Neodiprion lecontei: one gene and its partner. The protein of the gene in region 2 interacts with the protein of the main gene of each other region in a pairwise test. Links are inferred from orthologs where the notes say so. Each region holds a gene or a part of one and is shown on either strand. Other genes may lie near its edges.

What was found.
Region 1: the proteins of syntaxin-16 (region 2) and proteasome subunit alpha type-6 interact in a two-hybrid assay, tested with the Caenorhabditis elegans proteins (3 studies listed by BioGRID). The link is inferred for Neodiprion lecontei from reciprocal best matches to the Caenorhabditis elegans genes syx-16 and pas-1.

What each region holds. Positions count from the first base shown.
Region 1 is NC_060266.1:19,482,726-19,499,561, reverse strand, and holds proteasome subunit alpha type-6, read right to left. Parts: upstream 14,535-16,836; 5' UTR 14,450-14,534; coding exon 14,374-14,449; intron 14,190-14,373; coding exon 14,095-14,189; intron 14,009-14,094; coding exon 13,927-14,008; intron 13,374-13,926; coding exon 12,944-13,373; intron 12,839-12,943; coding exon 12,781-12,838; 3' UTR 12,624-12,780; downstream 1-12,623. Other genes in the region: chromodomain-helicase-DNA-binding protein 1, read right to left, coding at 1-48, 145-352, 482-794, 887-1,046, 1,150-1,313, 1,432-1,601, 1,686-1,874, 2,385-2,675 and 2 more; trafficking protein particle complex subunit 13, read right to left, coding at 9,087-9,179, 9,318-9,465, 9,596-9,696, 9,780-10,006, 10,074-10,170, 10,317-10,440, 10,748-10,875, 10,955-11,039 and 2 more; probable small nuclear ribonucleoprotein Sm D2, read left to right, coding at 11,722-11,864, 12,105-12,360, 12,449-12,553; probable galactose-1-phosphate uridylyltransferase, read left to right, coding at 15,387-15,462, 15,701-15,838, 15,908-16,077, 16,152-16,357, 16,435-16,663, 16,778-16,836. UniProt on the Caenorhabditis elegans protein: The proteasome is a multicatalytic proteinase complex which is characterized by its ability to cleave peptides with Arg, Phe, Tyr, Leu, and Glu adjacent to the leaving group at neutral or slightly basic pH.
Region 2 is NC_060262.1:42,171,699-42,189,368, reverse strand, and holds syntaxin-16, read right to left. Parts: upstream 9,388-17,670; 5' UTR 9,012-9,387; coding exon 8,931-9,011; exon of another isoform or gene 8,807-8,930; coding exon 8,588-8,806; intron 8,334-8,587; coding exon 8,126-8,333; intron 7,639-8,125; coding exon 7,373-7,638; intron 7,249-7,372; coding exon 7,039-7,248; 3' UTR 6,854-7,038; downstream 1-6,853. Other genes in the region: engulfment and cell motility protein 1, read right to left, coding at 35-463, 1,067-1,357, 1,670-1,801; T-cell activation inhibitor, mitochondrial, read right to left, coding at 3,316-3,550, 3,864-3,995, 4,084-4,245, 4,288-4,388, 4,479-4,791, 5,423-5,814, 6,059-6,173, 6,262-6,284; XK-related protein 6, read left to right, coding at 10,731-11,108, 11,182-11,524, 11,664-11,816, 12,269-12,765; dynein light chain roadblock-type 2, read right to left, coding at 15,031-15,242, 15,353-15,431, 15,495-15,497.

The DNA of each region.
Region 1 (16,836 bases), on a different chromosome or scaffold from region 2:
GTTGAATTTCAACCTCTTTGAACTATAACACCATTCGAACTCCCTGATCTGTAAGCCGTAAAAATACATCAAGTAAAACAAAAATAATAATAATAACAAAGAGAACATTGAACAAAAATATTCTGCCAAATTCACAACACTTACCACGTTCCTAGACGTCACATCACCAAGGTAAGTTACAAAATTCATATCTGGTGCCCACTGTGCCATTTCTCTTTGCCAAGACGTCATCGTAGACAATGGTACAACCAATAAAAATGGTCCATACAACTGTTGCGTGTGAAAAAGGTAGTAAAGGAAGCATATAGTTTGTATAGTTTTTCCCAGACCCATCTCATCCGCGAGAATAACACTGAAAATAAAAAAATAAACATCAACAAATTATTAATAATCTTTGATTCATAGTCATGTGAAATTATCGGCACTTGCTTGATTTTTGATAACGAATTTCGAATATATAACATATATCTCATAGCTTTACCTATTCTCTTTACACCAAGAATGAATCAACCAGTTTAATCCGTCCATTTGATAGTCTCTCAAGACTAAATCTTTCCCCCTTCCCATGTATTCGGGCTGCCCTTTGACTTGATGAAATTTTGGTCTATACTTTAATACTTTACAGTGTTTACTCGGTGTTCGTTTCGAATCTTCCCTATCGCGAAATTCCTTGATCTTCTCAGGCCATTTTTTTATTATCAAAGCTCCATCTTCCCACGTCGCATCGGCATATGGTAAACTTTCCCATTTACAATAATAATCTGGATGTCCAGAATCCGGTTTGTTATATTCAGCTGTGAAAAAATATTATTTCAACAAATAACGGCGCAGATAAAATTCGTCTAGTCTTTTATCCAATCAAGTACAACAATTAACAAGTTTTTACCAATTATCCGTTCTACGTAATTGTAGCTTTTCAATAAATCCTGTTGAAGTTCCAGCTGACATTCGAAGTAGTCTATATCTTCAGGTCCAGCATAGTCTCTCCATTGTTTGATTTCCCGTTCTCGCTTCACGAAATTTTCTAATTTTTTAATACCCTTCACCTACGACAAATAAAATAAAATATCGGTTTAAAATGTAAAATAGAATATACTCCAGTTTCCATCCACAACCAGTCTGTATAAAAGTTCGAAAATTTTCTCATACCTTTTGCGCCTTCAAAGAATCCTCTGATTCCCACGTATTGTGTATATGCGACCAGCCTTTCCATTTTATTAGATACTGCGTCTCGGCTTCTTCGTCCGCCAAATCTGTAGGATTCAGATCACCGTTTTCTTCAACAGCGTAGACAGTCGTCACATTTCCAGTAACTAACAGTAGCAAAAGTTTATACACGTTCGTTATAAAATGCCAGAAATCGTAAGACGATTTGCTTGTGTTGCGTTCATGTGATTTTGCTATAATTCGCATTGATTTACTAAAACTCACCTCCTTTTTTTCCTCTTCTCTGCCCCAGAATTCGTTCAATGGTTTCGGCATTATCTGGTTCCAACGGAGTCGCCAATGCTTCGTCAACCTCGACTATATCCTCACTGTCAGTCCCCTCTTCGCTCTGTTCTTTGTAACTGACTGCAGTTCCAGCCCGTCGCGTGACTTGCCTAAATTGATATTTATCGTGTGTTGAATTACCTAACGATCATAACAGCCCAAATAATTTTAAATTAATACTGATGCGTGCTCACCTTCGATTATCATCGCTGTCAAACGAAGAATTCTCCGAGGATTCTGATATTCGTTTATGACGTGAACGAGTGTTTTCTTTCACCTTTTGCGCTGCTCGACGATTTATCGATTTACTTGGCGGAGGTCTCCGTTTAGTAGCTTCATCCGATTCTGATTCTGAACTGTCAGAATTCCAGGAATTTTGAGTACTGAAATAAGAAATGTTGCAATGATAAGTAAACGAGTGCCACTGTGAGATGTTATATCGCGTATTAAGACGTTACACAAAACTCGACGACTAAGGCTTGAAGCTTGGAAAACAAATCACACTTGGAAATTAATTTTTAGCTTTATGTTAGCCTGTTAACAGCGATTAAAAAGTCTAACAATTCAAAGAATACATGATGATAACTTAACATGGAAAAAAGACTTCCTGATTCAAGTTGACGAGAATCAATGCAATGCATTTGTTGCGAGAAAAATTTCAACTTGCTTATGTGGGGTTTGCTGAATTACAGAAGAATTGAAGTTTCATAATTAAGACTTTGATATCGCTTTCCGCTACCGTCAAATATCAGTGTAATTGTAATTGAATTTTCGAGCAATTGCATTTTTCTCAAATTTTATCACAATGAAATTTCCTTACGATCACAGAAATCCCAAAGGATATAATAAAATACTTACTTATGATAGCGTTTTATCTATTTCATTCTCCTTACCTTTTTTTTTGAACCTTCCGTCGTACATCGCCGTCGCTTTCGCGTTGCGTAGTGAGCCTCTCTGGTTCCTTGCGGGATCTCCCCGATCTTCGGATTCCATAAACGTCTGGGTTTTCATCCCATTCACGACTCGAGTCGCTTTTATGTCGAACTTTTGTCTCTGAGCTATGTACCGAGCTTTTACTTTGAATGCTAACGCTTTGTGCAGGAGTATCCGATTTCGACGATTTATCTGACTTTTCAGAGTCCGAACCTGATGCTGAACCAGAACCGCTTGAGGAGCTAGAGTCACTGCGTTAGCAGCCAAGCAGTTTTGTTTTTTTCGTTATACTAGTATTACTTTTTTTTTTTGTCACCCCCTTTCAAGGGGTTGGTTAATATTGGTAAATGAATGAATGAATGAATAAATAAGAGATATCTGTTGACTCGCATAATGATTGACCGTATTGTAAGTTTCGAGATAATATATTGATTCAAACAGAAGATAAGTATTATCTCTGTTGAGAATTAAAATTTTGTTCAGGATTAATATCTGATAACGATAATCGTGCACGTGTTGCTCGCTTGTAATGTGTCAGGTTTAATTTTTTCAATATTAAATTCTGACGTCTCAGTGTCTCGTAAAATATTGATGAAATATCTATAATTGTATGATTAAATACAAGACTGAATTAACAAAATGACTATATCATTATTCAGCTTTTACGCTCGGATGTAATACATTCATTTCATTTCAATACGATTTTACAAACATTTTAAATAAGAAATATTTTCATGTGTGTAGAAAATGATACTGTTCGATAACTTTTCACTCTGGGAAGTAGTTGTTTATTGTTGTCTTTAGCGTAGATCAAAATTACAGTGACTCTGGTATTGACATAATATGATGAAACGATGTAGTAGTAATAAGTAAGGCAAACACGCAACTTGATCTAATTCTCACTCCTAAACTATGATTTAAAATACAAATATTCAAGAGCATTTATCACTTTATAGATTATCATAAAGTTTTTCAAACTTAAGTTCACAAGAAATATGAAAAATTCTATGTATCCCCCAATCTAATAATCGAAACTACTAACGAAATAGAATCGTAATAAGTTCATAAATTCTGGCCATTGTATCCAGAGCCGAGATGATCTGATTGTAATAATCATTAGCATGTCTCTAAGTTTAATACAAAGTTTAAAGTAAATGAAAAAAAAATATTTATTGGTAAATCAGAGTATGGAATGTAAAGTGAAGAAAAATGTACAACTTTTGTAAATTGAAACTCATTTGTGGAGTGGCAGGTAGTACAATGCCTCTTTTTATTTATTTTCCAACATCAGCTTCAAAGAACAAATAACAGTTAGCCGTAAGATCAGCAAGGTAAAGTTAGTACTGGCGTGCAAAGCTTGAGCAAGTAGCTTGATTGATTTTTAATCACGTGAAACTTCCAGAAGTATCGATCTGATCTCAGAAAAACCACAAAACAAAATTTTAAATACTGAAATTGGCTTTTACCTAATTTTATTAACCATTCATCCGATCTTTTAGTATTCACACAATACGACGTCCAATGGAAATCATAGAAGATCTTACTCATTCTTTATACTTTCTATCTCTGAATTCGAAGTAAGTATTTGAAATATAAAGCATACTTTTAGATGTACCAGAATTCAATTTACTAATTGTTTCCAAAAATATTCCGAGACTTAAATCAGAGATTATAATTTGCTTTTTTAGATATCCAGGTTTTCCCTGATACAATTGGACACCGTGTGTGTTATTACTAAATTCAATTCTTTCAATTCACTGCATATACACACCTGTCTGATCCAGAACCAGATCCGGAGTTGCTTCCGGATGATGAGCTGTCGCTCTTACTCTCGTTCTCCGAATCTGAACCAGATTCCTTACCAGACTCAGAATCTAAAGTTTTCTGTAAATGCAATTCGAAATATACAATCTAATAATCAGTAATCGCTTATACAGACATCTATATAAGAAAGAGCAGATACCACGGTGTTGTTTGGATATACTGTGCTAATATTTATCCAGTAATTCAATACCAAGGATATTATTAGGAACAGGAATGATAATAATATTAATAACGCTAATAGGTTTGACTATCTGTTGCAAATATGTAGTAGAATTTGTTATGGATCTATTCAATTAGACAGTGGTATATCATATACAATTTCCTGTTTACGAAATTCCGTAGATTGCTCAGCAGCCATTTTGTGGAATTCATCCGCCATTTTGTTTATGCCATATTATACCAAAAGCAACGAATTTATTGCAATTATAGCTTGCCGATATGGCTTGTGTTGCTTTGATAATTATTCTTAATCACCGCGAAGTAAAGCTGCTGGTTTTATTCAGATTTAAAACTACTTTGCTATCCTTTTCTCAAGATTTGCAAACTTATTGTACTTATACTGCAGGCATCCCAAGATCCACCTTATCCTTTGTCCACAGATGTCGATGGTGATGTAAATTCTGTGCCTTCTTAGCTTACGGAATCAGATCATAGAACAAATGATGCAACCTTGCTTACTAGATAGCTTAGATATATTATATACAAGGATGGAGATAAAATGACTTATATACTGTTTTTAAAGTGTAATAAATAGGTTTATTTATTAATACAAAAGTTACATCAACATTTCAGTGTTGATACAATCATTTGTGTACAATATGTAAATCCAGGTGTTTAAATAAGGTAATCTTATATTAGTTGTTATTTTGCATCAAGATCTCAGACAAAATTTACCCCACAAACATTGTCCAGCGAACTTTACATATTTGAATCTCTAACAGTTTGGTGATTGAGGGAAAAAAATATATGTGTGATGCGATAGCTCTTCCAAGTATCGAATGTAGATTCCTAGATATGTAAAAAGCATAGGAAACACTGATCAACGATAAAGAAATAATATTGAGTGATAAAAAACTGAGTTCTACGCGTTCCAATAGAAAAAATATGAATATACACTTCGCAAGGAATATTCAATAGCTGTAATGCAATTATTTATCACTAATTTGAATCGAAACTATGTGAGAATTAAATGATGCATCCCAATTAAGTTATAAGAGAAATAATACCAGTGCCTAATGGTAAGTATTAATTTGCATTATAACCATCAGATGGAAGAACAAAACTTTCATTGCCATAAATAATGCTAGTTTCTCTTTTCTTTTATGATATATCTATACGTATATATTTACAGTGATATGAATAATTGCTACTTGGATAAAATCTTCAACTATATAGAAACGAATAAGATGATTTGATTGACATTCGAATTCAGGAATACGAGCAAATAGTAATATTGAATCAGAGTAGTTATTATAATTTATAAAAGAAAAAACAACTAGCAATGAAAATAATTCTATGTACACGATACGCTTTCACTATCGAAATCTTTTATCTCTTTAGTTCAAGTTAGCAATGAGCCTTAGTATTTTATCTATTTTTATTTTTCTGTAGTTGTTCAATTTGCGAAAATAGTTTGTGTGGCATAACGAGCTTAATAAAAAAAACGATTGAGGACCATTTTTCATTTTGTCGCAAAAGAATTGAATAGCATTAAAAGCACAAATATACTTTTACAATAGCAATGCAATAAATTTTTAGACGAATGTTACAAAAATTTACGTTTTACTCAACAGTTTGTTTGCAGTGAAAACCAGACTACATTAACAATAAGCTTGTAAACAACATTTCTTAGCAGATGAGTATGGCTGTCGAATATCAAATGGATGTCGTGATTAAATCTGATTAATTTGGGCTTTTAAGCCGTACAGTGCAGATATTATTGCCTTGTAGAAAGTTGAATAACTTAGGTGGGTTTGAGGATAAAACTGATGCAAAACATATTGGCACAATGTTTTATCGATACTGGGAACACTGCTGTGTTTACGCACAATGAAACAAAGCGGTTGAAGCAGTAAAAGTATATGAAAATGATGTGGAAAATGATGGTCAAAGTTTGAATAGAATAGTAAGTAAGTTTGGAAGATTTGCCAAAACCAATGGCAGTAAGGATTATAATTTTTGAAGTAATGTCACAAGGCAAAGAGTTGCAGGTTATGTGGATAGCGTGCGGCCCAAACTTTAAGCTCAATTTGCAAAAATGGGTCCGTCACGAATATTTGAATAACTGTTACCAAAGGTTGGGAAAAATAGTGAGGAATGGTTTTGCGGGAAAATATGGTTGGAACATTGACATTTTAATTGAAAAAACTCGTTGTTAGTAGAATGTAAACAAACTTATAGGTTATTTGGATGATCAAGACTTTGTTAATTTGTGGAAAATTCGTTCAACAGAGAGACAAGTCCCTGGGCTCAGTCGGGGCACAAGGCCCCGCCCTACACGTAGAAACCCTTGAAATACAGGTGTAAATAATAATTTTAACAATTATCAAGCATTTTCTAGCCGCAGATGATTAAAACACAAGTCGCAAGGGGTATTTTACATTATTCCAAACAACACCGCGGTCGCATCGGGCAAATTGGTATCGCAGATAAACGGTAACGCTCATATCATAAATAAAAACAAATAATTATCGATGAAAATTGCGAGAAAAGCTCGAAAATTGACTATTTTTCGTACCCGTCCACTCACCTGCATCATTCCCCTTCACGAGTAAAACCAAATTCCTTATTTAACGTCGAATATGCACTATTTCACCCCCTGTTCACCCTTCCGATTACGAAACAACAACGTATTCACGATACTAGATATCACTGGTTATATTATATCCCGACATTGTTCAATAATATCGAATTTTCCCGTACTATATGGTCACGGACCTGAGCTTGGCCGCCATTTTGTGATCCCGTCTTGTTCGTCGCCCTCCTCGATTCCCCCCCTCTTGCGTCCCTCTCGACGGTACGACGTACCATCATGCATTGCGCGCGCGGGACATTACCTCACCCCTCGCGCCTCACCCGGCGCCATGGCCGTTTCAGGTGAGCGCCGCTGCGTCACGATTTCTAACTGCGTTTACATGGAACGTATGACGAGTAAACAATTCAGGTGGACATAGGACATATTTGTTGCCCAGTTACAGAGAAGAGAGGGGAAAAATACGATATTAATAATGGAGGATGAAAATTCAAGAAAAAACATCCTGCAACGTTCCGATCGATAATACATCCGTCGAATATATATGTACGCGAAACCGGCGTAATTTTCATCATTGATTAATCGATCGCGTGACGACAATGTGTCACAACATTTGGGTCATCGAACAATGAATCGGAAAGAAAAGAAAATAGAAGTAGAACAAAGAAAATTGAACATCGAGACACAACCGTTTGGCTGACATTTTTAATTGTCGTGTGGGGGGAATGCCTGAAATTGACCCAGAATACTACGCGATTGTTATGATTATTATTTCTTTCTTCATAACGACCTTGCTCACGATGCGGTGTCGAAAGAGGAAAAATCTTCGATCGCGACACACAGTTTCCGAGAATTAATTTAAAGACAGCAGCTTGTTCCCTCTTTCTATCGTTGGCGGGTTTAACGGGTATAGTTCGATGAGTCTTGCGATACATAAAGATTTGATTTCGAATAAATGAACCCAGAGAATTCCTCTCATCTCTCGCTACAATAAACATTTCATTGAAATGAAATTCGAGATTCGAATATTTTTGTACAAAACTTGCAACGCGTAGTAGGTACGGGTATAAGTAGGTAGGTAGGAAATTACGTATCCGTACGTGTGTCTGTGTGTGTGTCGTGTGTACACATACATATATGCATTCATCGTTATGTAAAGTGTTAGTGACGTCATCATGCGGGTACAAAGCGCCGCTCTAAGGCGGACTAGTAAACTACAAAGCTTTCATTTTCCATTACATTGGGACAGGGCCGAAAGCAGAGCGTAATTATTGTTTATACAATGGTCTGTAAAGGAACGTATGCGTAATTATTTTGCATTAAAACAATACATGTAATTTACCCAATCCAATGAAATGTAACGAGACTTTTTTCCAAGCAGTAGGACAAGTGTAATTTGTACTGAATGAAAGACGAAAAATATTACCCGGAGACCCTGTGACACAACCACAACGGAAAAGGAGGAGTTTGACGATGCTGATCGAGGCCTCGAAACTCGATCACGTTTAATGCAACAACTTCCGATCGACGCATGCTGTCGAGACTACATATCGATGTTCGATGGATCGAAAAAATCCGTAGCGATTAGTCAAATTCCGTGATATTTTTGCCTAAAGGGGAATTAGATATCTGGCATATTATATGTATAGATCAGATTCTTGCTACCTTCTTTATAACGCAAGATTCATTGTATGATTTATATTAATCAAATTTTCGTCAAATAATTGCAGAATGTCACTGATGTATTGGGGAAAAAAAAAAAAATCAACTTGAAAATGATTAATTTTAATCATTAATTTCAATCGATTAGTTATTTCTTAAAATTTGTCATAACTTAACAAATCTGTGGCGATGAAGAAGGAATTAGGTTGTACAAATTTGTCATTGTTAATAATGGTAGGTAATTTTCGTCGATAGGTAATTGGTAACAATATCATAAAATTTCAATAAATTGATAATAAACTTTCTTTCGTAATAGATAATTACATCAGATTTAATAATTATTGATCATATTTACATATTTATACAACAAATATTATATTAGAATCTCTTTTCCAGTAACACTTTCTATTAGTATAAATAATAATTAGTCGACTTGATGTACAAATATTTGGGCGAGGTCATCATGATCGTAGACACGTTTTAAAAATGTGTCCACTAATTTCAAACCTGAAACAGTCTAAAGGCGAAAATGATCTATCTTTAGTCTCTCTTCTGAAATCATTACCCATTATAATATATTGAAAATTATTTGTTTTAGCACTTTTCACTATACATGCAGCTTTGGATATGAAAATCTTTGAAAATAAATACTCACAACAAGCCCTGTGTCGAGTGGAATTAAACACAATGGAATGTCGCACGATGCTCCCGATTTAAGAGTTCCTATCACAGTCTCAGAGACTCCGCACCATGCTATAGACTTATTAGATTCTAGGCCCAACATTATATCCATACTTCTCTCTCTGTAAACAAAACATATATTGAACTGAGCATTATTTTTCATTGATGTTATTTTATTTCAATTTGAATACGATAAATTCGAAAGGTTCTCTACACATTTATCACTGTCAATGAATGCTTTCAATTACTCACGAAGTATTTACAATACGACATTTGAAGTTCACTGGTTCTTCCAGGTATGCAATAGGTGGTATCTCCTTCATTGTTACTCTCAAGTCTCCAAAATCTGGAGCCTTAAAGACAACCGAAAATCAATTAGATCGAATACCAGCTGAGCTTTACATGTTAAACGCATATTGCAGTTTTTGAAACAAACCATCCTCTGCAGCTGACTCGTTTGTAGGCGTCCTCTTTCACCCAAATTACTCCGCCAAACGATATCAAGTTTTCCTATGTTAGTTGCATTATGCATCATTTTTGGATCCTTGGTTAAGCTCGGCTGAGGAGTAAGGCAGTATAAGTACTGCCGGCTCGATCCAGAATCTAATAGATTCACTCGCCCGTAAATAGACTCACCTTGCAAGTTTGTGTTCAAGGTTGTTACTGTGGAGAGTACATTTTTAGTTAAAATTTTTCGTTTCCCCTGCCATAGTTACAAAAATTATCTCACCATTGAATAAATGGGATGACTCAAGTGCTACTTTCTCCAAACAAATCGGACCGGCAGTTTGATTCTGTATTTGAGCCTCCAGATAAACGTCGTCAGACTAGAAAAATCATATGATTAATCGTAAACTTTTTACATTTATAACTGGGTCCTTTAATTATAAATTAAATAGGATAACAAATTTTCATTAATGTATTCTTTGTCATAGTTTTCAAACAAAGATACCCTAAAGGAAAGATCATTTACCTCTGCATTATAGAATTTGGTTTTAACATCGAGTGGTTTGACGACTTGGAACTTGAAAAATTTGCGAAATGATAATGGAACAGGTTCAGAAACTGTGGGGGTATATGTAACTTCGCAAACCAATCTGAAAATGAAATTGTGAATTTTTATTTTCGAAACTTCGCAGTTCAGGATTGAAGAGAGTGGTTTGCTCACAAAAGTACACCAGACGGTTAAAATTTTCAACCAAAGAAATAACACGGATTGCTAGTAATCTGAGATTTTATAAAAATTGAAGTTGTCAAATTCCAATAACTATAGATTTCACAGAGTGGAATCAACAAAATTTCTACCTGTAAACAGGAACCCAATAATCTCTGAAAAATTTGACTGTACTACAAAACACCAAAATATAATAAATGCCATACTACAGAATAGCGCAACTCTCTTACATGTGTGTCCCAATCTCTTTAACTTCGTGATGGATAACTTCGTCCACTGTATTATCAGGGCCTAGTTCCTTAGGCATACCGTTATGACCAGACAAAGGTATTCGTTGGGAACTAGTTTGAAGATCAGCCTGTAACAGATTTTAGTTAAAGCATTATTTATGCCAACTCAAATGTTGTCATACAAACTGAAAAATAAAAGAATCTTACTTTCACCATCACGTCTTTAACTAATTGGGAACTACCGTTGTGAACGCATAAATAGCTCGAGAATATTTCTCCCAAGTAGATATTACTGAAACAATTGTAAAGCATTTATGATAAGTAAAATTATCGGTAGAAAATGGAAAAAATTTTTCATCTCGGCCACTGTGATCAATTATTACCCAAAACTCTGTGGCAACATCATGAATTGGCCAACAGCAAGGGTCTCCATTCCCTGGAGGGAGGTGTTGTCATTTTTAAGCTCATTATTGAGCGTGTTACCTGGAAGATCTGTCGAGTCGCAAGAGACAATTACTGGAGTAGCAAGTGTCGGCCTGGTAAGCCGCATAACTAGAAATAAATAGAATTTAATGAAGAAGTTTTCAATTAACAAAACACAAAAATCAACGAATAAGTTAGGCGTATGAGGCAGTTGACATGAATTTCCTTACTCATTCAATTATACAATATTTTGAGAACTAATTGGTCATGATTGTTCAAACGCACCTTTTAACGCTAACAAATGTTCACTTTTCGGTTTTGCTTCCATTTCTCTCGTTCGGTGGTAATCAAGTAATAAATTCCTTGTTGTTTTTCAACAGTCAATCTGGATCTGAAAAATCTGGATGCATAACCTATGACATCTGGGGGATTCTTATGTCAAACATTGAAGCAGAGACCTACTCATCTCCATAGAGCTCATCGCTGATTGGAGTTAAGATCGTAGGGAATTCTGCGGCTGAAGACTGGCAATTTTGTAACTAGTAAAATAAATGAACAAATCCGGAATCTGGGTGATTCCGGCACAACCACAACGTTTGCCCGACGAAAGAGAGACGCTTTTCAAGATTCGAGAAAAAATTGATGATCAATTGAAGCAGTTTATAAACAGCAAGAATTTTTCCAACAACATAATGTGAGTGTGCTCTCAATAATATTGATCAAATTATCGTTGAATCTGATAGCATAAAGTAGACGAATTATTTCCAGTTTAGAAGTCACGAACAAAAACTAACCTAACTTAACCTCTCATCAAGATTTAGAATATTTTTTAAATATGATTTATGACCATACTGATGTGTTAACTTTGGCTAACAATTGAACTCTGTTTTAAACGTGATACAACAATTTCATTTCAACAAATGTTCGATTACAGGGCGTCGCTAACCAAACCAAAGTCTGAAATGACACCTGAGGAACTTTCTAAAAGGGAAGAAGAGGAGTTTAACACCGGTCCCCTGTCCGTTCTGACACAATCTGTTAAAAACAACACCCAGGTTTTAATCAACTGTCGGAACAACAAGAAACTGCTCGGCCGAGTCAAAGCATTTGACAGACACTGTAATATGGTATTGGAAAACATCAAAGAAATGTGGACAGAATTACCACGGACTGGAAAAGGAAAGAAAAAGGTAATAAAATCGAAACTGACCTCACTTACCCTCAAATTTATAACTGATTGTAGGTAAAATTTAATAACTGTATGATTAAAAATTGCAGGCTAAACCAGTGAACAAAGACCGGTTTATATCAAAAATGTTCCTGCGAGGTGATTCGGTTATCTTGGTGTTGAAAAACCCACTTGCCACAGCATCAGGCAAATAATATCACTAGTTTGTAAGAATTTTGTAATTATTTTTAACAAGCTGCGATTATATTAAAATAAAGAACCTACTTTAAGCCGTAAGCCAGAGTTTATTTTAGCGTACTTCGACCTATGCATACTTAGTACATATCATCGATAAGATTGATTATTCAGTAAAAAAGAAATCAGATGACACTTTGTGATTAATTACACATTTGGTCATATCCTTTCGACCCGATCTCACCAATTAATCCTTTTCTGCAATTGCGGTCAGATGCTTATCGATTTCTTGCTCGTTGAGAACACTAAGAAGCCATGAAAGGAGAGAAAGAACGAGTTAATCACAATGTATAACTGCAAACAATTGGTTTAAAAAAAAAGCGACATATGAAAATTCATTCATGAATTACCGGAACTTCGGATTGCTCTGGGAGACAACTCCGACCTCAATTTCAGTTGGTTTAAAATCAACAGAAAGAACGGTCGAAAGACAAGTGATAGCCAGCTGAATCGCTTCGTCGTGATCATAGTTCTGCTTCTTTTTTAACTTTTTCTCCAAGTACGAGTTGGCCTCGGTTTGTTTAGCACCAACTGAAATTGCTCTGTAGCCACAAAAGTACCCTGCAGGATCAGTTTTATAAACACAAGGCCCTTTCTCCTGATCGTATGCTATGAGTACCATCGAACATCCCAGAGGCCTCATTTCCGCATTTTGAGTGTAAATCTGACTAATATCAGCCACACGGCGGCACAAAGTGTCTACAGGAATGCTGTAGTCATGTTTGTACTTGAAATGGGCAGCTTCGTAACGAGCACGTTGTACTTGAGATTTGCTGTCAGCTGTAAAAATATCAATTCATTAAAGATTCGTTCAAGTATCATTGTAAAACATAATGTAATTTTTATGATTTAATTAAATCGTTGTAAATAACAGTTTTGAGTATTATTATGAAAAAAATATACTCCACGATTAAATATTAAGTATCCTGAAAAATGATGGTTCTGTTTTTATAGCAAAATTTGATTCTCAATTAATGAAACCTTTTTCTAGAAATGTATCAAGAGCATAAATAGCAGTATTCTTAAAAATAATTAAAAAAAAAAAAAACACCTAAATTCCATAGGTTTCATGCTTAGAAACAAAATCTATGTATGCAGGTATACGTCGGGTAAGTTTCAATTAATCAAGGGGCCACACTTGAAAATGGTTGGTGAAATTGAATTGGTTGGAAATGATTCTTAAATTCACAATTGTCAGCAGAAAATATCTGTGACAAAAAGATTTTCTCGAGATTAGTTTGGATTGTGAATAAAATGTATAATGCATATCAATACAACACTTTTAAAACTCTCAATATCACAGGTTAAATACGGAAACACTTTAAAAATTTACCAATCATCCCAGTCATGACGCAGCCAATATCTTCAGTCAATTGGAAAACGTGTGTAACGCTTGAGGCATCGAGAAGCTTGTCCTGTAATTTAGATGAAAAGTAAAATATGAGTCAATGATGTGCCAATGTAAAACCGTTTTTCTCCTCAATCTGACAACATAACCTACCGGAACTTTTTTTTGTGTAGCAAATACCGCGGTGTCGACGCCTTTAAGAGCGACGGAGGTCAGGCCGCCTTGATTAATAGCCTTAAACGCATATTCTGGAACACAAACAACGTTTTAATTAATACAGAATACTATCCATCAAAAAGTGAAACACTAATCACGCCGAGTCATCATAAACACGGTAATGAAATGTCGAATATTGCACGGAATACTCGCTCGGGGATCGTCGGATTTTTCGTAAAGAAAACGGTGATACTGCCGACTTTTTTGCAGACTTACCTACTTGGTAGAGCCGACCTTCCGGCGAAAATATCGTAATATGCCTGTCAAAACCAGCGCTACTTCCTCGCGACATTTTCGCTCTCTGTACTGACGGCTTTGCTCACAGTCAGTTTTGCGCTGCTGTGGGGGGTGGGGGCGTTCCAAAACGCCACCTGAATGAGTAGATTAGCTTTCTTTTCACTCAGGGTGCGTTCCGATTCCGAACTACCTCCCAGTGCTGTCAACAATCTTTTATCACTTTTGCACTGCCGAGTTCGTGGGTAGGTCTGCCTTTGTCCTAGGGAGTTTTTAGGGCTGTCAGCCTATTTCGGAACACACCGTTTAGTCACCTGGGTGGCATTTCGGAACGCCAAGGATATCTGATTTTTATTTCATCAGTCTATTGTCTATTCTGTTACTATCTATGAGATTTTTAGATGGCCGTCCGCCGATATAAGCGACCTCTTTGTTCTGGTTTTGAAACCGCGGCGATTTGACACATTCGACCAACACTTGACACTTTCGAAAGTACATATCTATTTTTAAATTAAGTCCAAAATAATTATCAATTTCTAAAATAAACATATTAAAAAGATCAAAGTTCTTACAAAATGATGAAATGAACAGTTCAATTTTTTTCCTTTCAGAGGCTTAAAAAATTGATTTTGTACACGCGTCAATAAGCAAGTATATTTTGTTATTTAGCATGTATGTACTTCCAGAAAAATTAAGTGTCAACCGAATAATAAATATTTGTTTTGCGGTATATATTAGCATACACTTTCTTAAAGTATTTTCTTTTCATTGTCATTGAATAGTGATCAATTTCTTCATTTACATCACATACAGTTGTAATAATCAGGCAGCATGATCCGAGATAACAAATGACGATGTTATCAGATCCGGATTACGCTACTTAGCTATGTCATGTTATCTAGTATCTAGTTGGTAAAACTTCTAATGACATAATGTCCACATAGAGACTCGGTACCCTGAGAAGCACCGAAGAAAAATCGATTTGACACGTCAAGATGAGTTCCTTGGAAAAGTGTGGTAAGGATCGCACTAGAGATGGTAATGGCAAAGCAAAAGGGGTGTGCGATATTGGTGATTATAAACTTCGACGGTCGAACTGCAGATAATCGACAGTATGCATTGTTTAAACTCCCTTGCTACAGCGTTTCATACGCTATTGCGAAACTGAACGCATGTGACTCATAATCATTATATTGCACATTCTTGCACTATTATTTTCAAAGTATAAGTACAGCAAAGGTCACAGATATTGTTTTCATCTGGTGGTGATTGCGTTAAGTTTGATTTAAATTTTAATCAATTTTTTTAGGTAAACGAAGAAGGTCCAAAGAGCTTGAATGCACTCGTGATACCCCGAGCAAAGATGAATCATTGATGTCGGAGAAAGGGCAACCTTCGAGTGTAACCTGTGGAAATATGGCGACTAACCATGACTTTGATCCAACAGGTATGGTCGGGAATGATGCATAGGTATACGGATGTTTGTATATGCTAGTTATTTAATGTTGTTTCGCAGAACACCAACACATCAGATATAACCCTCTGAAAGGAGAATGGATATTGGTATCCCCGCATCGTATGAAACGTCCTTGGGGAGGGCAAGTAGAAGATAATCTCGACGAAGAGCTTCCCGAATATGATCCAAAGAATCCATTGTGTCCTGGAAACGTTAGGAGCAGTGGTAAAGTGAGCAGAACCTGCAAGAGATAAAGAAAAGTAGCGCAACTTCTCAAATACATTGTGATAACTGTTGTTTCCAGGTGACTCCACCTTACCGCAACACATATTCATTTGAAAATGACTTTCCCGCACTGTTGGAGTCTGTTCCAAGTCCGCCAGAATCTTCGGACGAGCTTTTCAAGATTGGTCCAGCAACGGGAAATTGTAAAGTGATGTGCTTTCACCCAAAATCGAACGTTACCATCGCTTTGATGAAAGTTGAAGATATCAAAGAAGTAATAAAACAGTAAGTATTATCGCAAAAATGTGTTTCAACTGTATGACACAGTGTCGTGAAACCTTGACTCAACATTTTACAATCAGATGGATACTCGAAATGCATGAACTGAGCAAAAAATGGGCCTGGGTACAAATATTCGAGAATCGCGGGGCTATAATGGGATGTAGTAACCCTCATCCGCACTGCCAAATTTGGAGTAGCTCGTTTCTGCCCTTTGAAGCCCAGAGAAAGGACAAATTTCTCTGCGACTACTACCGCCATCACCAAAAACCGCTTTTGATTGATTATGTGCGAAAAGAGATTGATAGAAAGGTACTTCGGGAAATAATTGTTTAAAGGCAAAGATTTTGAGTAAATCAATTAATATCTTTGAATCTTTGAACTGTGCGAATAAATGTTGCGATACAGTAACTGACACGTTTTCAGGAACGTATCGTGATTGAGAACTGCGACTGGGTAGTTGTTGTCCCATATTGGGCGCAGTG
Region 2 (17,670 bases):
CATGTTTGAGTACCAATTTATTATTAAATCCTACCTGTCCTGTTGATTGTATAACATTGGTAACAAAGACGAGCCGTAATTGTTTAGATTGCAGAGTAGCAGCGACAGCTCGCCGTTTAGGCAAGTCTGCCTTGAGAAATAGAGCATTGATGAGGGACATAGCATTTTGTTGGATTTGAGGGCTCTGACTTTGCAAGTGCATGACTAAATTTGGAAAAGTAACTTCCTTTTCAACTTGACTGTATTTTCCCGAAGAATTCACGACAATATTTTCCAAAATTTGCAAGGATGCTTCGACGACCTTAGAGTCCGGCGGAGTCGCTTGATTGTTCACATAGCTAGCCACCTTATTTATGAACGGAGATTCCAATATATCCCACGATACAATCCCATGATCCATCAATTCCACAAAGGATTGCAAGAGAAAGGCTAGTGTGTTACTTTTAGATTTACCAGCCTCAACCTACCGTTATAAAAAGACATATGAAAGAACATTGGATTTGGATCAACAAATCGTTCAAGAAACAGAGTTACAGATTTGTAAGAGCAGTATTAGCTGTTTACTAGAAGAATAAAGAAGCAGCAATTCCTAGTTATTAAATACAAGGTATGAATAGTTTTTGTATTTTAAAGGGATTGGTTTTTGGTTAAACATTAATGTTACATCATATACACATTGCATAGTAAACTATGAGATGAGACAAGGTTTGATCATGGAAGGATCTTTATCGTTCTTCGATTCCTTTGAAGTTGAAGTTACATTATAACCCAAGTGTGCACGTCATGATTGTTCCAGATTCATTTGTAGATAAAATAACTCGAAAACAATTTTGATGAGGCACACCAAACTTCCATGTGAATATAATTTATTAGAAACTTACTCTCTATGGTTACGAATGGTAATCGACCCTAATTTAACATCTGTCATGTAAATTGAATAATTGTTCGAAAACTCCAATTGCTTTTGAAATAATAGGGACAAGTAAATATTCAGCCTATCAAGGGTGTCCAAAATGCCTGAATACTTTTACACTGCAGTGCAAATAGTCACATTGTTAAAAATTACCTGTGAAATAATGAGAGCCAAGCCTTGTTTATTGATAAATTCCAAAGCAAATGTAACGTCGTTGCTAAGAGTGCTTAATTTCTGGAGTGCTGCAACTTTTTCATCGTTATTGCCATTGTTTAGTTTAGCTAGTATGTCGCTGGCTGTTTTTGAAGGTGAATGTTCCAGTCTTAAAATGCTTCCATTTTTTATTTCATTCCGATTTTTTTCTGTTATATAGTTATGGTTGTTATCTGAAAATTGCAGAGCATACGTGTCGGGATCTGAGAGATCCCAAGCATTGCACAGTTCCTGCAAGACGAAATATACAGTGATGAGTTCATCAGAAAATAGATAATTTATAAATAATATTGTCGCTATGACCAAAGATTTTACTTGAATTCAATGTATGCAACAAACTATACTTTTATCAAGTCAAAATATTTTAAGGATGTGCAACAAGCATAGAGCATAGCAGATATTGAATTTTTATTTAGATTAATTTGATCCTTAGGTTGAATATCCGCATTCAGTACTATTGGCAGTCGATAATTCGCTGAAAAGTAAACTGGAGGTTGGATGAATAGGCTCTTCAATCTTCATTTAATTAAAGTATGTATGTACCTGAATTATTCCGGTCAAAGGCTGCTTTTGATTAAATTCAATTAATTGTGCTTGTTGATCGGCCATTTCTATGGCTATTTTAACAATATTCGAATCCTTCGTGGCTGGCATTTTTATTGTTTTTGTGTACATGGGACACCGAACTGTAGTGGTGATTGTCAGCCGCAGTCAATTTTGGTTGATAATGAAATGACAGAGAATAGCTTATTGCTATTCTCTGTGAAAGTGAACTTTGTGCATCAAGGTGCAGCCGTTATTAGTCATCTACGCACTAATCACGTTCACAACTTTATTTATCTGGAATCCGCAACATGAAACACAACTCCCAACAACGGACTACGCGACAACTCAATGAGTGCCACGAACTTGACGTTTAGGAAAATGACAATGAAATTCTGGGCTGCGTTCACAAACTTTAGTTGGTAAGGTTGGTAAGATGTATTCCGAACTAATCTCATTCGCTGTTTTATCCTTGTTTATCATAGCAATTAAAATAAGACAATGATATTCCGAATCTTTGTCAAGTTGCGGAATATACCCTTCAGACTTCTTCAGAATCGACTGGCGTTTGTTTGTCCACGGTCCGTGTGAAAAGACAAGAAAATAAACGAATTCTTCTAACAAGGTCAATTTATTTACAAGATAATAATGTCATATGGCTATTGTCAATTGTTTCATTATTTCTACTTATTTTTAGATGCAAACAACATTTTATACAACAGCCTGTTACAACAAGCTTAGAAAAATATAAGCTATTATCTAATTTTAGAAAAAAATTAAGTTACATTATTTTAATATTTGTTGGCACTATTGCTCATGTTGTATTGAAAATCCTTATTTGCTGATCTCGAGCGCAGGCATACATATATGTGGTATATTTGTGTTTTTTCCTACCCAGCACTGTCAAAAAAACTGACTCATAAGAAAGTTGTTGAAGTCTGTACTCTAAATAAAGCGTTTTTAATCATTTAGATGAAAAATTTGACAAGACTGGGTCTTATTTTGGACTTGCAGAAGATATTTCAAATTAAATTTCATGCATAATTTCTTCATAATCTTTACAGCCTTTGTTTTTATTCTTACGCATAAGTAGTAAATGAAACATACTAACCAATGCATGTACTTTGCTCGCAAGATTACATAGCGACACTGACAAAAAATATTGTCATTATTTATAAAAATGTATTTACATGTACCATAATTGCACCCTTTAGAATTCAAATTTGATTAGAATGTGATCGATATTCCGATATTGTACAAATACGATTGTTAATAATTGACTAAAACTGTGATACAAGACTGTCTGTACAGTCATTACCTATAGTACTACAGTCTCGTTGCTAAATTAGATATAAATATAATTCGCTAGTGTTGAATTAGAATCTGTTTGCTTACTAAGAATGGCACAGAATTATCTCATTACGATTCGAATGAAAAGAACCTTCGTTGACTAATCTATACTAGTTTAACATTCCAAGTTTGCTTAATATACATTAAAAGAATATACCAAAATAGGTAAACTTTCGAAATTGAAAATAAAATTCAAAAGAAAAATAAAAAAATTGTAATTACAACAATATGCGCTATAGTTGAACCGTTATTGAAGTCTTTTTAAAGATATTGAAAATCATGAAACATTTGTTATATCATATTTTCCAGTCCCATGGTATACATAAGACTCCATCGCTCATAACTGAATAGTAGTGAGTGACCCATAGCCTAATCCCAGAAAGCATTGGCATTAGAACAGTTTTGTTCTGCAAAAGGTGTTCGCAGCATTCTATCATCAAATCTGGTGTTATGCTATCATCTTTATCTAGCGCTGCCAGCTCTAGCTCAAGTGCTACTTTTCTATGAAGCTCTCGTTCTACGTGTTTCACCCTGAAAAATACATTAAACTGTTAAGTTTTTTGAAAACCTTCAATAAAACGAATTTATTCACAAAGTGTAATGAAAATATTTGTCTGCAACACAACTAGTTACAAATGATAAGGGCATAACATAGTCGATCTGACATTTGTGCCACAAGGAAATATTCTCGCACAGATTTTTTAACAGCAGCTGAGCTGATACTCCAAAATGATTCGCTGTTGTGTCATCAAGTCTAAGTCAGTAATTGAGTTCATTGACTTTTGGCAGTTTTTTCGATTTCCTAGATTTGTAAAACCCCTGATAATTTTGTGAAGAAACATACCTGTTGTAATGATTTAATCTCTCAGTAGCTGCATTCAAATTTTCTGTGATGAAGCTAATTAATAGAAAACTAGGGCAGGATGATGGAACGATGAATTGTCCTGTGGGTGATAGCATCAGAGGCCCAGCTTCGCTATTAAAAAGAATAGATATTTAATGATAATTGCTTCAATTTCATCGAAATTCGAAAAAAAATTAGCACAAGACTCTGAAGAACCTACGTTTCGACTACAATTTCGTAAGCGCTCAGATCTTCGGGCCAATCTGTCGGGTATTTTCTACGGCTACGATAGTCACTCAGAGTAGTAGTTAACTGACGCAACTGTTGTTCGTACTGATCCACCATGACCTTCGGCATGAATTTCCTGCACATAAATTGCACCCTGAGCCTTACCGTCACTCATTACCTACTCTACGTTACACACCGTCTTCCAACTTTGATGCCAAGCAGAACTTGAGAGACAGCCTTTTCAAATGCCGGGAGCCGCAGCAGAACAGCATCTTGTTTTTTCACATTCTTCACTAGCTGCAATGTTAACCGTTAAAACCACATACTACTTTAACGACTACCACTCAATTTCTACTTCAAAATTTTGTATCTATTAACATGTCTTACATCAAGCCAGTTGTGCCGCACTTCACCAGAGTTCAACATTACATTTCCCTCCAAATTGATGCCTGTGTCATTAGCAAAGACTAGAATTCTACCTTGGAGAACTTTCATGGGCTCAGGATGGTGTTTGGAGAGTGCCAGAAAGGCTAATAAGCAACCGCGATAGTGAGCAATATTCCAGCCGCAGTCCCAAACTATTTTCTTCAAGCCCAAGTCTAAACATAATTCTTTCTCTAGTTTGGCCACCTCCTCACGGATCGGTCGACATGCCTCTAATTTCACAAGGGCTTCATTGCTATGCTTTTCTAAATATGCTCTGAAACACCAAAACATCTTTGTGACTCTTAACAATCCATAGTACAAACCAAAATATACTTATGTATAAGTTTTTATATAATTATGTACTAATTTTCTGACATTTCCAGGCACTCAACATTTTTTTCTGGACACTATTATTACACAATGTATAGAATGCATGAAACCTATAATAACTTGATTAGAAAGAAAATGCTTCTTCGTTAGTTGAAGGTAATGCTGATTTTTCTTTGAATGTGTATGAAAAGTGGTCGCAGCCGTTTTTTAAACCCCATCTTTTATTTATTTATATCATCATCCTGATTTCATCTTTTTTGTTCTGGATCATTATAAAAATAATTGGTTTATCAAAGTAAATTGAAAGCAGTTTATTTTTGCTGCGTGCATTAGATGATTACTTGTGGAAATATATAATAACATCAGTAATTAATGGATTTCTACCAAATTTTCTAAGATATGACAGAATTTTAAAGACTTATTTGTGCTTTGCATATACATTTCACAACGTCTATGCACTGATACATCGTGAACCTTGTCTTGAACGTTGAAGGTGACGGTTGTGAAAACCAACCAAAGAAAGAGCTGAATTTTATTAAAGGTTGATCGCGTTTAGGGCTGATACATACACTTACTTGAACGTGTCAGGTTCCAAGTTGATTTTCCTCCTCATAATAATGGAAGCATAGATAGGATCATCCTCAAGTTCAGAAAAATCAATTCTGCCATCATGTGCTCTATACCTCTGCCAAAATTGTGACTTTAGCTTTGAAGCTGGTGGTTTTTTCTCTTCTATTTTATCAACGAAAGTTGTGGAAAGATTGCATGCCTTAAGTATGCACAGAATTGTTTCTCTGACATCACGATCTGCCAACTGTATTTTCACCAAGGTAAATTTTCCAGCCTTGACTTCTTTTTCGTCTTTTGAGCGTAGATAAAAGGGCAGCGTAGTCGGCCTGATTGGCCTCCGTTGCTGCAGAGTTTCAATCAAAGAACTCAACTGCTTCAGGGAGTTTTCATTCACAGTCTGGAGATTAAATGAAGCAAACTTTATAATTAATATTTGCTCCAGTGTTGGCATTTTTGTACAGCACTTGAAATCGGTGAATGAACAAAGGATTGACGAAACTCTTTCACGCACAAGTATGTACGATATAAATAACATAGAATCTGCCAGATCTTAACGCTATACCTATCCATGTTAGAAACACACGCAGTATAACTTATGTCATCACAGAATACAAAACAAAAATTTGAAAACAAGGACTTACCCTTTGTGTGGGAAATTGGCCAAACAAGTCGGGATGCACAGAGAAATAGAAGGGTCTTAAAGCCGTAGATACTTCACCTGTGCTTAGGGCCCTTACAGCGTCTTGGCTGCGGATGCTGGATATTAAGAAAAATCATTTTTAGACAAAAAGTAATTTGAAATTAATTTCAAATTGCAGTATTTTTCGAATATCTATTGGCTTACCATTTTTTTAACGTGCAATACATCTTGAGTAATAAGTTCTGCTAGTTTCTTAATATTTTCATGTTTCAGTGAACTCTGTGGTGCACTCTGTATTTATTCCTAGGATAATTATCTAGTACACTATTGAATATTTTCGAAAATCTACGGAACACGAATCGTCGCGTACGTCACGTCACCTTGAACAACGAACGTGAAAGGATAATAAAATGTGTTGTGTTCTGAACTCAGCTTGCTGTCTTTATCTCTCTTGCTCTACCCGATTTTTCCTGAGCTCTCTCTCAGTCTTCAGAAATTTTTAGGACCGGCAGCTTATCTCGGAACACAACGGAATACACCCTACCTTTAATCCCGTAGAATTTTTAGTACCGATGATTCGTTTGAAAATACAGTAACTGATACAGCGTCATCACCAAGATGAAACTTCGAACTTGGCTCAAGCCTCTAACACACAGCAGTCATGCATATTTTCTGTAGATGTAAGGTTAGGTTGATTAGGATATGTTACATCTGATTGGTGGATACTTGAAATTCCACAACTTTTATTTTCATTTCAGCGAGCAGCACAATGACGCCAAGTAACTGGTTATATTCATTTAAATAAATAGTTGATAATTTATTAGCTGTCAGCATTACATATCATTATTATACTTGTACATAGGTACGTACATACATACACATGAATTGCCTATGGATAAATTCGACATTGTAGTGATTAATTAATTAAATAACCATGGGACGATAATTACTTAATTCAGTGATATTATTAATACAATTGTACTAGGTTTTGAATATAACAAAGAGGAAGCTGAGGAATATTATACTAATTGTTAGCACCATAATACAGTATAATTTGCGATTCGCTCTTTGGTACGTATCAGCTTTTTTTAATTGCTTATAACCCTCTTGCACTTGTATCTGTGTCTGTTCAACGTTGTAGTCAATTCGGTCTAATACGCTACCTTGATCCTGAACCATGTGTGCCAGGTCCTACAAAAATCATAAGCAGATTGTTAGTAACGATTGTCCATTGGTTTGTTTTATTTGGTTGTATCAAAAATCTACAAGTATTGTTGTATTGAAGCAAGGAAATAACTTCATGGTAAATCTCTACCTTAAATATATGATTTAGATCAGATATGCTCTGTACAATATGTCCGACTTCTTGTTCTCTTATCATTGCTTCTCTGGTCCGCTCTTCGTCATCAAATTCCAAAAGGACCTCTTGCTGCAACTGCCGTTCGTGTTGTTGTTCATAGTTACTTCCACCAACCTGAGCAAACTTTAAATCTGTTGCCCATGAATCCGATGGTTCAACAGAAACAAACTCTTGATCTTCCTCAAAGTACTGCCGACTTCTTTCTTCTCTCGAATTCAATTCTGTCATTAACATGGATTACATTTAGATAAAGCCTGGATGACGATTGAATAATCTTTACACGATTATGTTGTGAATCGGATTCTGTGTTTCAGCCTTCAGATATTTAAACAAAGCCACGATCTTAACTGACATAAATTTGAGTTTTTCTTTTAGATGCGATCAAACCTAGATAAAAACATATAGACATATCAATGTCAATTTGCCCAAGAGAGAACTGCAGTTGCATTGAGTGAATAAAAGTAAAATCGATAAAATGGAGCATGCATCACTGAACAGAGATCTTTTGAACCTATTTCTTTTATGTTTTCTCCCCCAGCATTTTAGTAATGAATAAGATTCTGACTTTTATCAAACTTGAACATAACAATTTTTACTTGACTTGGAACATCGTGACTTTTAGTTTAATTTTAACACAGTGTTATGTACATCTTCAGGTTTAGGATTCTGGCTGAACAGATGATAAAATTATATCAATAGTGATAGTACGCTGTAAGTAGTGGCTTTGCGCAGCTCGATAGGATAACCCCAGCTCCTGGAGAGCAGTGGAAAGAGCTACTGCGGCACTGGCTGCAAGTCGACGTTCACTTGCTCTACTTTCTTGTCTGGCAGCTGTCTTGATAAGTTGCACTTGCCGATGGCCACTTGTAAATGCTCTTCCCATCTCTCTGGTCAATTGTTCCATCTGCCTTTCTTCCTGCACATGCCATACAAAATTATGCTCAACTTTTTTCAATAGAGCTATTTATTACAAATATTTACATTTAAAATCCCCTGACATTAATTTTTTTCATTTGAAAAGAACATGATTATTCGCTGAAATCTATTTCAGGCAATAATATATTACAAGAGGCAGAAAAAGGTGGAAGGCAAATAATATGCTGATACTTAGATATTCCATTTACATTTCAATATGAATTGACTAGAGCCTTATGCCAGCTCCAGTCATACCTGAGACGTGTCATCCAACGTTGGCCTGGTCAAATGCTTTGCATGAAGTTCCTTTAATTCAGCAAGCTTTGCTCGCAGTCTACTAAGGATGTATTGGGTTTCTTCCAGAGCATCAGACCATGCAGGTGGTGCATCTCCAGCCAAATTCAAACCCCCTAACTCGACGTCACCTCCAGTCATTGATTCCGGGGCTACAAGAGCCATTCTGTCCGACAAATTCTGTGTTAAAATAGTAATTATCGCATGATGATTTGCTGTCAATTGGCATATGGTTAATCAAACCAAGTTTGAAGAAATTACTGTGGGCTAACATCAGTAAATGAATTAACGAAAATTTTCTTACTTGTTCAGAGTATATGTGTCGAGTCTGTGATGCATTGTTACGCATAAGAATAAAAGGTTCTGTTAAACTTCGAGTCGCCATTGTTTTATTACAGTACAGTCTTTATTAAGTCTGACTCTAAATATTTATCACTCTCGTTTTTTACACCTTGACAGCTCTAAGACCGAGCCGTCATCAACAGGGAGTCGCAGTTGTCATGTTTCTAACCACGGAATTTTTATTTTTCAACGAATCGATCCATTGTTCTGTAACATGCACGGCGAAACGTTTAGTTTCTCTTAATTGGGATATTCAAGGGCTTTCTGAAGTATCAGTTCCACCTTCATTGCTGGCCATGTAACATTTTATCTAAATTTAATAGAGTATACGACGAGCCTATCTTGGTTTCTATCCGTTTATGTGACTTATAATACCGAACATTGACTTGGGCATAGACGAAATAAATATTTCAAGACAAGTAACTAAACTTCATTATTTGGTATGAAAAAGTAAATTAGGAATGTTGGCATGTTAACCGTCTGAAGTCAACGTTAATGGGTCGGTGAGAGAGAATAGTTGGTAATTGCAGGAAACTTCTATATTAACCGTATTCAGGCTCATCTAGCCCACACTTTCCGCGAGCCTTACACCCGTATTCATAGTCCTTCCTTGAGAAACAAGGATTCCTTGTTCCTCATTTCACGTTTCACGAACAAGGAATCCTTGTTCCTCAAGGAAGGACTATGAATAAGGGTGTAAGTTCATATAACGATTTTAGCAATGAGTTCATGCACGATCAGATCGAAAATCACGCAAATGTATGCCAACTACGGTGCAAACGTGCACGGGGCATTCAATAGATGTAAAGTCACGTAACATTCTAACAGGCACGACCATAAATTCTCTGTTAGATTTTCTGATCCTATGAAGGCAACATACGATGTGATATTCTCGCATGATTCCTATCTGACTCAAACAGGGTTGCCGAACCGTTCGAATGCTCATTCCGTAAAAGATAAGTCTGTAAGTTTCAAGCAAAATGTTCAGATACACGTTGATACGAATCAATTGGTTTTATATAGCAATTGCACTCTTTGTCCTTGAAATCTTCCACTTTATAATAAAATACATGGGAAAAGTATAAAGACTATTACCCAAGGACTTAGAATTAGATTGAATTGGTATAAAACACATTAATTTTCTTTGGCCATTGGAAAGTGCTCAGAAGAGACAGACCGATTTTAATTTTCATTGAACCGATAAATCAGCTAGCTAATGATAAGAATGGGGTAGCATGAGAGTTGCGTGACGTAGCTGGCACGAATGGCACAAAATAATTTCATACGCCGTAGGCACTGATATAGTTATATTGCCAATGGCATACATATTTTCACTGGTTGCATTGGTGTGTATCAGTGTGTATTGTGGTTAAATAATGAGTATAACGAGATGACAGGGTGGTATCAGTGCTTTGACAAGATGATTTATTGCAATTTTCACCTTTTTGTTAGCTGGAACCAAACTAAAAAACATCGAACGAAATTATACTTTTTCGCGGATACGTAATACCGATGCTGGTGTAAAATGATTGTCAAAAGAGTCCACGCGGAGACGCTTCAAAGTTTAAAGACCTTGACATTTTTTCGATCTAATTTTGATCTGTCGCAGTAATATGTCGCCTCTGGCAAAACGTGCGGGAGGGGGGGCGTAGAAGTCGGAAAAAGGGGTGGCTAGCTAAAAGCGAAACGTCTGGTATTCAGGGTAATTTCAGTGCAACTCTTTTTTCTAGCAACTATAAATATATTAATATAATTCGAACAAATGCGTGGAATTCATTTGAACATGCTATCACCGGTGCGCATCCATGAAGCCAGGAGGACACATGAAGGTGTGGAAAGTTTGCGAGGGAGGTTAGGCAACAACTGCGCTGAGAACACTGACAATCCAGAGAGTTGCATTGAGTATGACGATGAAACCGACCGACCAGATGAAAGTGCCAGTGTAACACGTTGGGATATAATATTTCTGAGTTTTTCTATCGTTACCCATATTTTCGATATCGGAGCTGACATCAACTTAGCGGCTCGATATCTGATCTATAACAAGATAACATATTTTGCTTGGACTGTCGTGTTCATAATTTTTCCGACATTTGTAAATACGTTCATCAGCTTCAGAATAAATTACCAGGACCGCCAGGTGGATATAGCTGCATATACGGTCTACCATTCGTCTCCAAAAATCTGTTATTTATTCTTATGTTTATTTATAGCTCGGCCTAATCCCTGTCAACGAGGATGGAAAGCAAGGTGGTATGATAACGGCAACAACTAGGGCTGCAAGGAGAAAGACATGGTGCATTTTGGTGCTTTTGTTTCAATTTGCTCCAGTTCTCCGCTACTGGGATAGTCTTAGATATGCGATGAAAGCACGAAGGTGCAAAAAAGCTGGGGACCTAGTCGGACAACGGCGATATTATCTGAAAATGATTAAGGAAGATCAGAATGTTGCACTGCTCAGAGTTTTCGAATGTTTCCTCGAGGCTGCACCTCAGCAAATCCTTCAACTTACCATTCTGCTTAAAGACGATGATTTATCTGAATTGACTTTTCAATGTACGTATAGATACATATCGTGCAGAGATGTAGCATCGATGTATCATTTATTCAAGATGTACTTTTTTCATCATACTTACATTTTTTCATACTACACTTGGGATTATATTTGATTCTTATTTTTTTTTCAAATCTGCAGTGTTGCAGATAGGCAGCGTATGCAGCTCCCTTGTGAGCATGGGTTGGTCTATGGCGAGTTATCATCGAACAATCCGTTTGGCTCAACATGACAAACCAAACATTGACCTTGTTGGAACAATTCTTCAATTCTTGTGGCATTTCTGTGTTACTGGTAAAAATGATTTCATAAATTAATGACGGTTGAGAGAGAATGTGGGTGAATGAAATGAACTCTGAAAGTCTTTTTCAATACAAATATTAAAATTCAGTGAAAGAATATTATTGGACAGTTCTTTGTTCTCCATTTCTGTTTTCGTTAGTTTGATATACTTTCAAAATATGTGTCCATTGAGTTTATGATGTAAATTTTGTGTCATTCTTGTGATTTATTTTGCAATATAGAGGGTGAGAAATGTAGAACAAAATTCATAGAGATGACGAAAGATCTGCTGTAAATAGTCGTGTGCATTTGTTTGGGTAAACAATAACTGAGGGACATAGGAAAAACATTAATTATTAATATTTTGTTATACATTTTACGCAAATATGTAATTAAAAATACTAGTTTTGAAGCATGAAGTCGTAAAAATCGCAATTCTAACATTTCTTCAATTCTATTTGCAGTGTCACGCATCTTGTCGATCAGCGTTGTTGCAAGCATGCAGCCCTTATACACAGGGCTAGCCTGTGCTTGTCATTGGGCAATCATGACTACCTGGTTGGCTGCAGAGCCTGGCGGAGCAGCAGAATTTTGCCGTGACGTAAATAACTCGCCACTCTCCCCATTGACAGTACTCGAGAGAATAAGATCTGCACTTTTTGCTGCTGTGCTTGGCACCGTTTATGTATTCACATACCTGAATCCAACCGATGGTCATACTTTTGTCAGACACTTATTTTACTATGTATTATGCTCCGTAGAGAACGGGGCTGCCGCAGCTTTATGGGCTACGGAAGCCAATCAGAAGCTCCGAGATCGTTGGTATTTCGAATTTTTGATAGTTCTTTGTACTGTACCATTTTGTATAGGTATCGCAGCCATGATTCTTTACTACGTGTATTTTCACCCCACAACTAAACGCAAAAACTCCCCCCCTGAACAAGTCACTGCAGTCAGTTGACACATTATTCGTAGTAGCGTTCATTTCTCATCGATCTTATTTTTTGTACCATGCAATTTATTTGAAATAACATGTATACTCCACGCTTCGAAAATCTCTATTTCTCTCTATCTAAACACATGACTATGTACATCTGTCAAACATAGAATGTTTTTTTTTTTTTTGTTTGCTCATCAGATTATCATAAAATTTGCAAGTCTGTGATATGCCCATTTATCACGTTCTACATTTGCTGGAGCTGCAGCATTCTAAATTTCCTAGTAATTACCTATTTTTATAGTAAATATTTCAAACATAGAATTTCTTTTTGTGTTTTCTTGTCAGGTTATAAAATTTGCACGTCTGTGATATGCCCATCTATCACGTTTCGCATTTGCTAGAGCTACGGCATTCTAAATTTCCTAGCAAGTACTTATTTCTTTCATAACGATTGATATTCAGGACGTTCAGCACGGATCATTTTGACTCATGAAAAAAAATTTCTTTCGAACAAACCAAAACCCCGCGAACAAATACTAGTTGATGAAAAAGGTTGCAGAATGGCTTCCTGAGGTAGTTAAATGTAGTTTTAAATTAAATGTAGTTTTATATATATATATTTTAAAAACTAGTAATTTACTCACTATACTGATGTACTATATTATTGAAGAATTTATTAACGGAAAGAGATGGGGATTTTTTGTGTGATACGTTCTGAATGTCTAACAAGGAAAACAGATCATCGCCGCTATTGCCCGCTACAGCAGCAGTAGTATTATTAAAGAATCTCTTGTTACCTTATTGTATTATTTAATACGTTTGCTGCAGCGTATTTTAGATTGTATATTATTTACTATTAGACAGGGCATGTATCGCCAGTAATACATGTCCCAGCAAACGCATGGATTATAATGCGATTTAGTTTTAGTACCATCGCAACTCATCCATCAAATCATTTCGAAATTTGGTTGCAGAAAGATATGGTGAAACAAGTATACCTAGTTGCCATCAATCTTCTTCTTGTACTCCAATGAAGTTTAATTTCACAATCGAACAATGTATCCAAATGATTGATATTACATAACTTGATTGGATGATAATTGGATTGAAGAAGAATTTAGTTTTCAAAAGGTCGTGAACACCTAGAAAATTAACTTCAAAAATTGAAGCGCTCTCACTTTACAGTAAATCGAATTTACGGTATTTGAATCTACAACGTGACATATGTTCTGATATAAATATATAGGGTGGCTCTAATTAGATTCTTTCTGCTATTACACATACATTATTTAAGAATTATTTTTTAAGAATTTTATCTTTGAAGCCCATAAAAACATGCAAACCTAAGACTTCTTCTAGTAAGCTCTAGTTATAAAATTATATCCTTTTGCAAAAAGTGGCACAAAGATGGGATGGTGGAATATTAATAGATTAAGTAGAAGGCTGACTTACGTGCTCCTTCAGTACACATGTATATATTTATATTATACAAATATTCTTGTGTGAGGTGATTACAATAATGGTATAAATAGTTGGAATATCAAGTTCCTGCTAACTCTTAATAATATTGTGAAGTATGCCTTATTCGTACAATCATTGATATGGGTAAAAATCATACCCAGCTGCATTTCAGTGTTTGAATAATTTTTTTTTGTTGATCTGATTTATTTTTCTTGAGTGATATTTTACTAATGATTTACATAGAATCTAGTCCAGCTTATATTAAAAAATGCCATAGTAGGTCATTTTGAACAATATCGTAATGTGAATGAATACTTTAAAGGTTGAAACAGTTATAATTTGTATCTCCATCGCATTTCAAAGCTCAAGTATTTGTCAATTTTGACGAAACTTTACTTTCTACCCAGTTGTAAAGAATCTAGTGAATTGTAAATATATCGTTAATGTAAGTGCATGTCGTTTTGATACATACTCAAAGTCATTACGCAAATAACAACAAATGTATTTATAATAAACTTTATTTATATCAAATATCGTCGACATACACTCAACAATTTTAAATTCACCAACATTTTTTTACATTGAAATAAATTATAAACAATAGATAATGGACAATTAATGTATATAAATTATTTAAAATTGTGCCAACAGTTTGACAAGAGCAGTAGAGAATGTGAGATGACGAGAAGAACGGTATTAAATTTTTAGCAGCGTGCTCAGTTAAATTAACTTTTAGTATCTAATTAGAGCAGTGTTGCTCATATAAATTATGTATTACAAAATTGCATGCAAGGCGCAAAAAGAATGCAAAAATTATTTATTCTGTCAATCGACAGGATTTTGCACAACTATAAGTATAAATTCTTTATCCGGGGCGACCATCACCTCATGCTTCTTGCTTCGGATTCGCAAGAAAGTGAGATCATTAGTGGGATCCAGATCCCGTACCACTGAACGAGCTTTGTCGGATAGCTGACTAATCAGCCCTGCATATTGAATTGTTGTCGTGTTGTCTAACGTCGATTTTATTGGAATTCCTACAATCATTATCTCGTTTAATATAATTTTAGTTGATTTTAGAAGTAACCGAATTTGTTTTGTTTTTTCAGTAATAAATTAAAATACACAAGACAGTGAAATGGTTAACCTTCAGAGTTGACTACAATCGTTCCAACCACTCCCTTGTGGGATTGAATACGCTTCATGGTTTCCTCGACTTCTTGTGCCTGTAGAGAAAGAAGTTATTATAGATGCATCATTTATTTACTCATTGAATTATATTGACGTACCATCTTTACAGATTAAATTTCAAACCGCAATTTTTCTGTTAAACGTCAGTGTTAACTCTTCCGTCTTTACGGTATATTTCCAAGGCAACGGGCAGTCTTACCAGTCGATATTTTCAGAATGGTTTAGGTTACGATGACGTCATAGTAGTAAGATAGCCAGTGTTCGTAAACGCATCGGATACATTTACTACGGGCAAGCTCCACGCGGCTAATGATTGTTTTCTATACTTCACGATGATTTTATGGCCGAGGAGACTGATATAATAGCTTTCTGTAATACCGGTTTGTCTATGTACCGATGCAAAAACGCGTTGCCGATAACGTTATCTTACAGAGATTTCAGGGTTTACGCCTTGACCGCCATGACGTCGCGTGCAACGGTAATTCAGTAAAAATTTGACTGTTTAGTGCGCAGCTCGCCTGATTTTCTGACGAGTAAAAACTTACTTTCGAGAGGAACTGATGAATTTATTGAAAAAGGAACAGATATAAAACATTTCGATCATTTTTTACTCGATTATGTAATCGATAACATTGTACAAGCCTTGACACAATACATAAAACACTCCAATTGCACCTGTTTGAATACTGAGTAGATGGATTTTGGACAGGAAATTTTAATAAAATGCTGTGGTCTTTTATCTGATTACAGAATTAAACTACAGCAATATTGATCGAGGTTAGTGATCATCTCAATTGATCTCTGGCAATAAATGTTGGAAAACAAAATGCAGAAGCTGAACAGGTCACAATGTTGTGGTAGAATAAAAAACAGGTATGAATTTAAAATCATTCCCGATTATACTATCACACCACTTTTACTTTCAATTTAAAAATTTATCTCTGAGTTGAAATTTATTGCTATCCAGTCCTTGATTATATTTTGTAAAAACAATCGTCAATTTCCAATGGTCTGTGTATGAATTTGGAAGGTGAAATAGTAATCAGATATTGTTTTCTCTTACCTGATTACAGGGACAGCCTACATTGTATCACTATTGATCGCGTTTAACGATGCTCCAAATGAAGTAACCCGATTAATTGATCTCTGAGAAGAAAGTGAAAACTAGACCAACCATTATAGCGAATGAAACTAGAAGGTATGTACTTTAATTAAGAAATAATCGATTTTATCGTAAATGATGTCAGTTAGTAAGTTTGCACGTATTTAGGTAAGGGTATTTCTCTAGGATTAGTCTAATTACGCAGCGTATCTATCAGTAGAAATAATGTAGTGAAAGACTGTTGCCGCGAATGATATGGTTGGCTCGACATAGGTTTCGTCAGTTTAGGCACTTCCGTCGTTATTGCTAATCATCCGTTTATCTATGTCAGCTAATCAATTTTTTCCCCTTTTTTGCAAATTATATATTTTATCCCATCTAATTGTAAGCTGAGTATAATTTTTTTGTCTGTTTCAGCTACTCAATTTTATTCACTGAATTGCTTTGAACAGAACTTTGTAGTCAAGAATCTATTCGAATAATCATCTGTATATGATTTGTTAATCGATGAATGAAAAATTTCTTCCGATACTTATTCCGTTGGACGTAATATGCCGGTGGCTGTTAGAATACATTTTTTTCAAATGATTGTTACAGAAATATCTAAATACCTATATTTTCTGGAACGATCGATTTTGAGGTTCCCTTGGAACCCATTCTCGCCCTTTGCCATACTATTCACCTTACTGTCTTTAACTTCGTTAAAATACAAGCCTAGTGTTAAATTTTTTAAAATTATTAATAACTCTCAATGAAGATTAAGACGCAGTACGGTCAGCACAGTGCTTTATAATCAATATGCCGATCGCATACCGAAAGTCTACGACAAATAACGCGATGAGCAGTTCTACGCAAGCACTTCTGTGCGAGGATATTACTTCTGATCACAGCTAGAGTCGAGTAGAAATAGCCAGTAGAATGCTAAAGAGCGTTGGCTTGGTTAAACATATGATTATGTTGTAGTTCAAGTCGACCGCTCTAGCTAAGAATATAAGTGCTGTTCTAGGTATTAGGAGTTTGATGCATGTGTCAGAAAGCACTGCGAATTGTGTTTTTATTATCCAGAGAGGTCGAAGTGATCGCTGATTCATTGGGAGAAAATTAAATAATTTGGATCGCGGTCGAAGAATGTTGAAATGTTGAGTTAGCGGATAAATTCTGCAGTATTACGT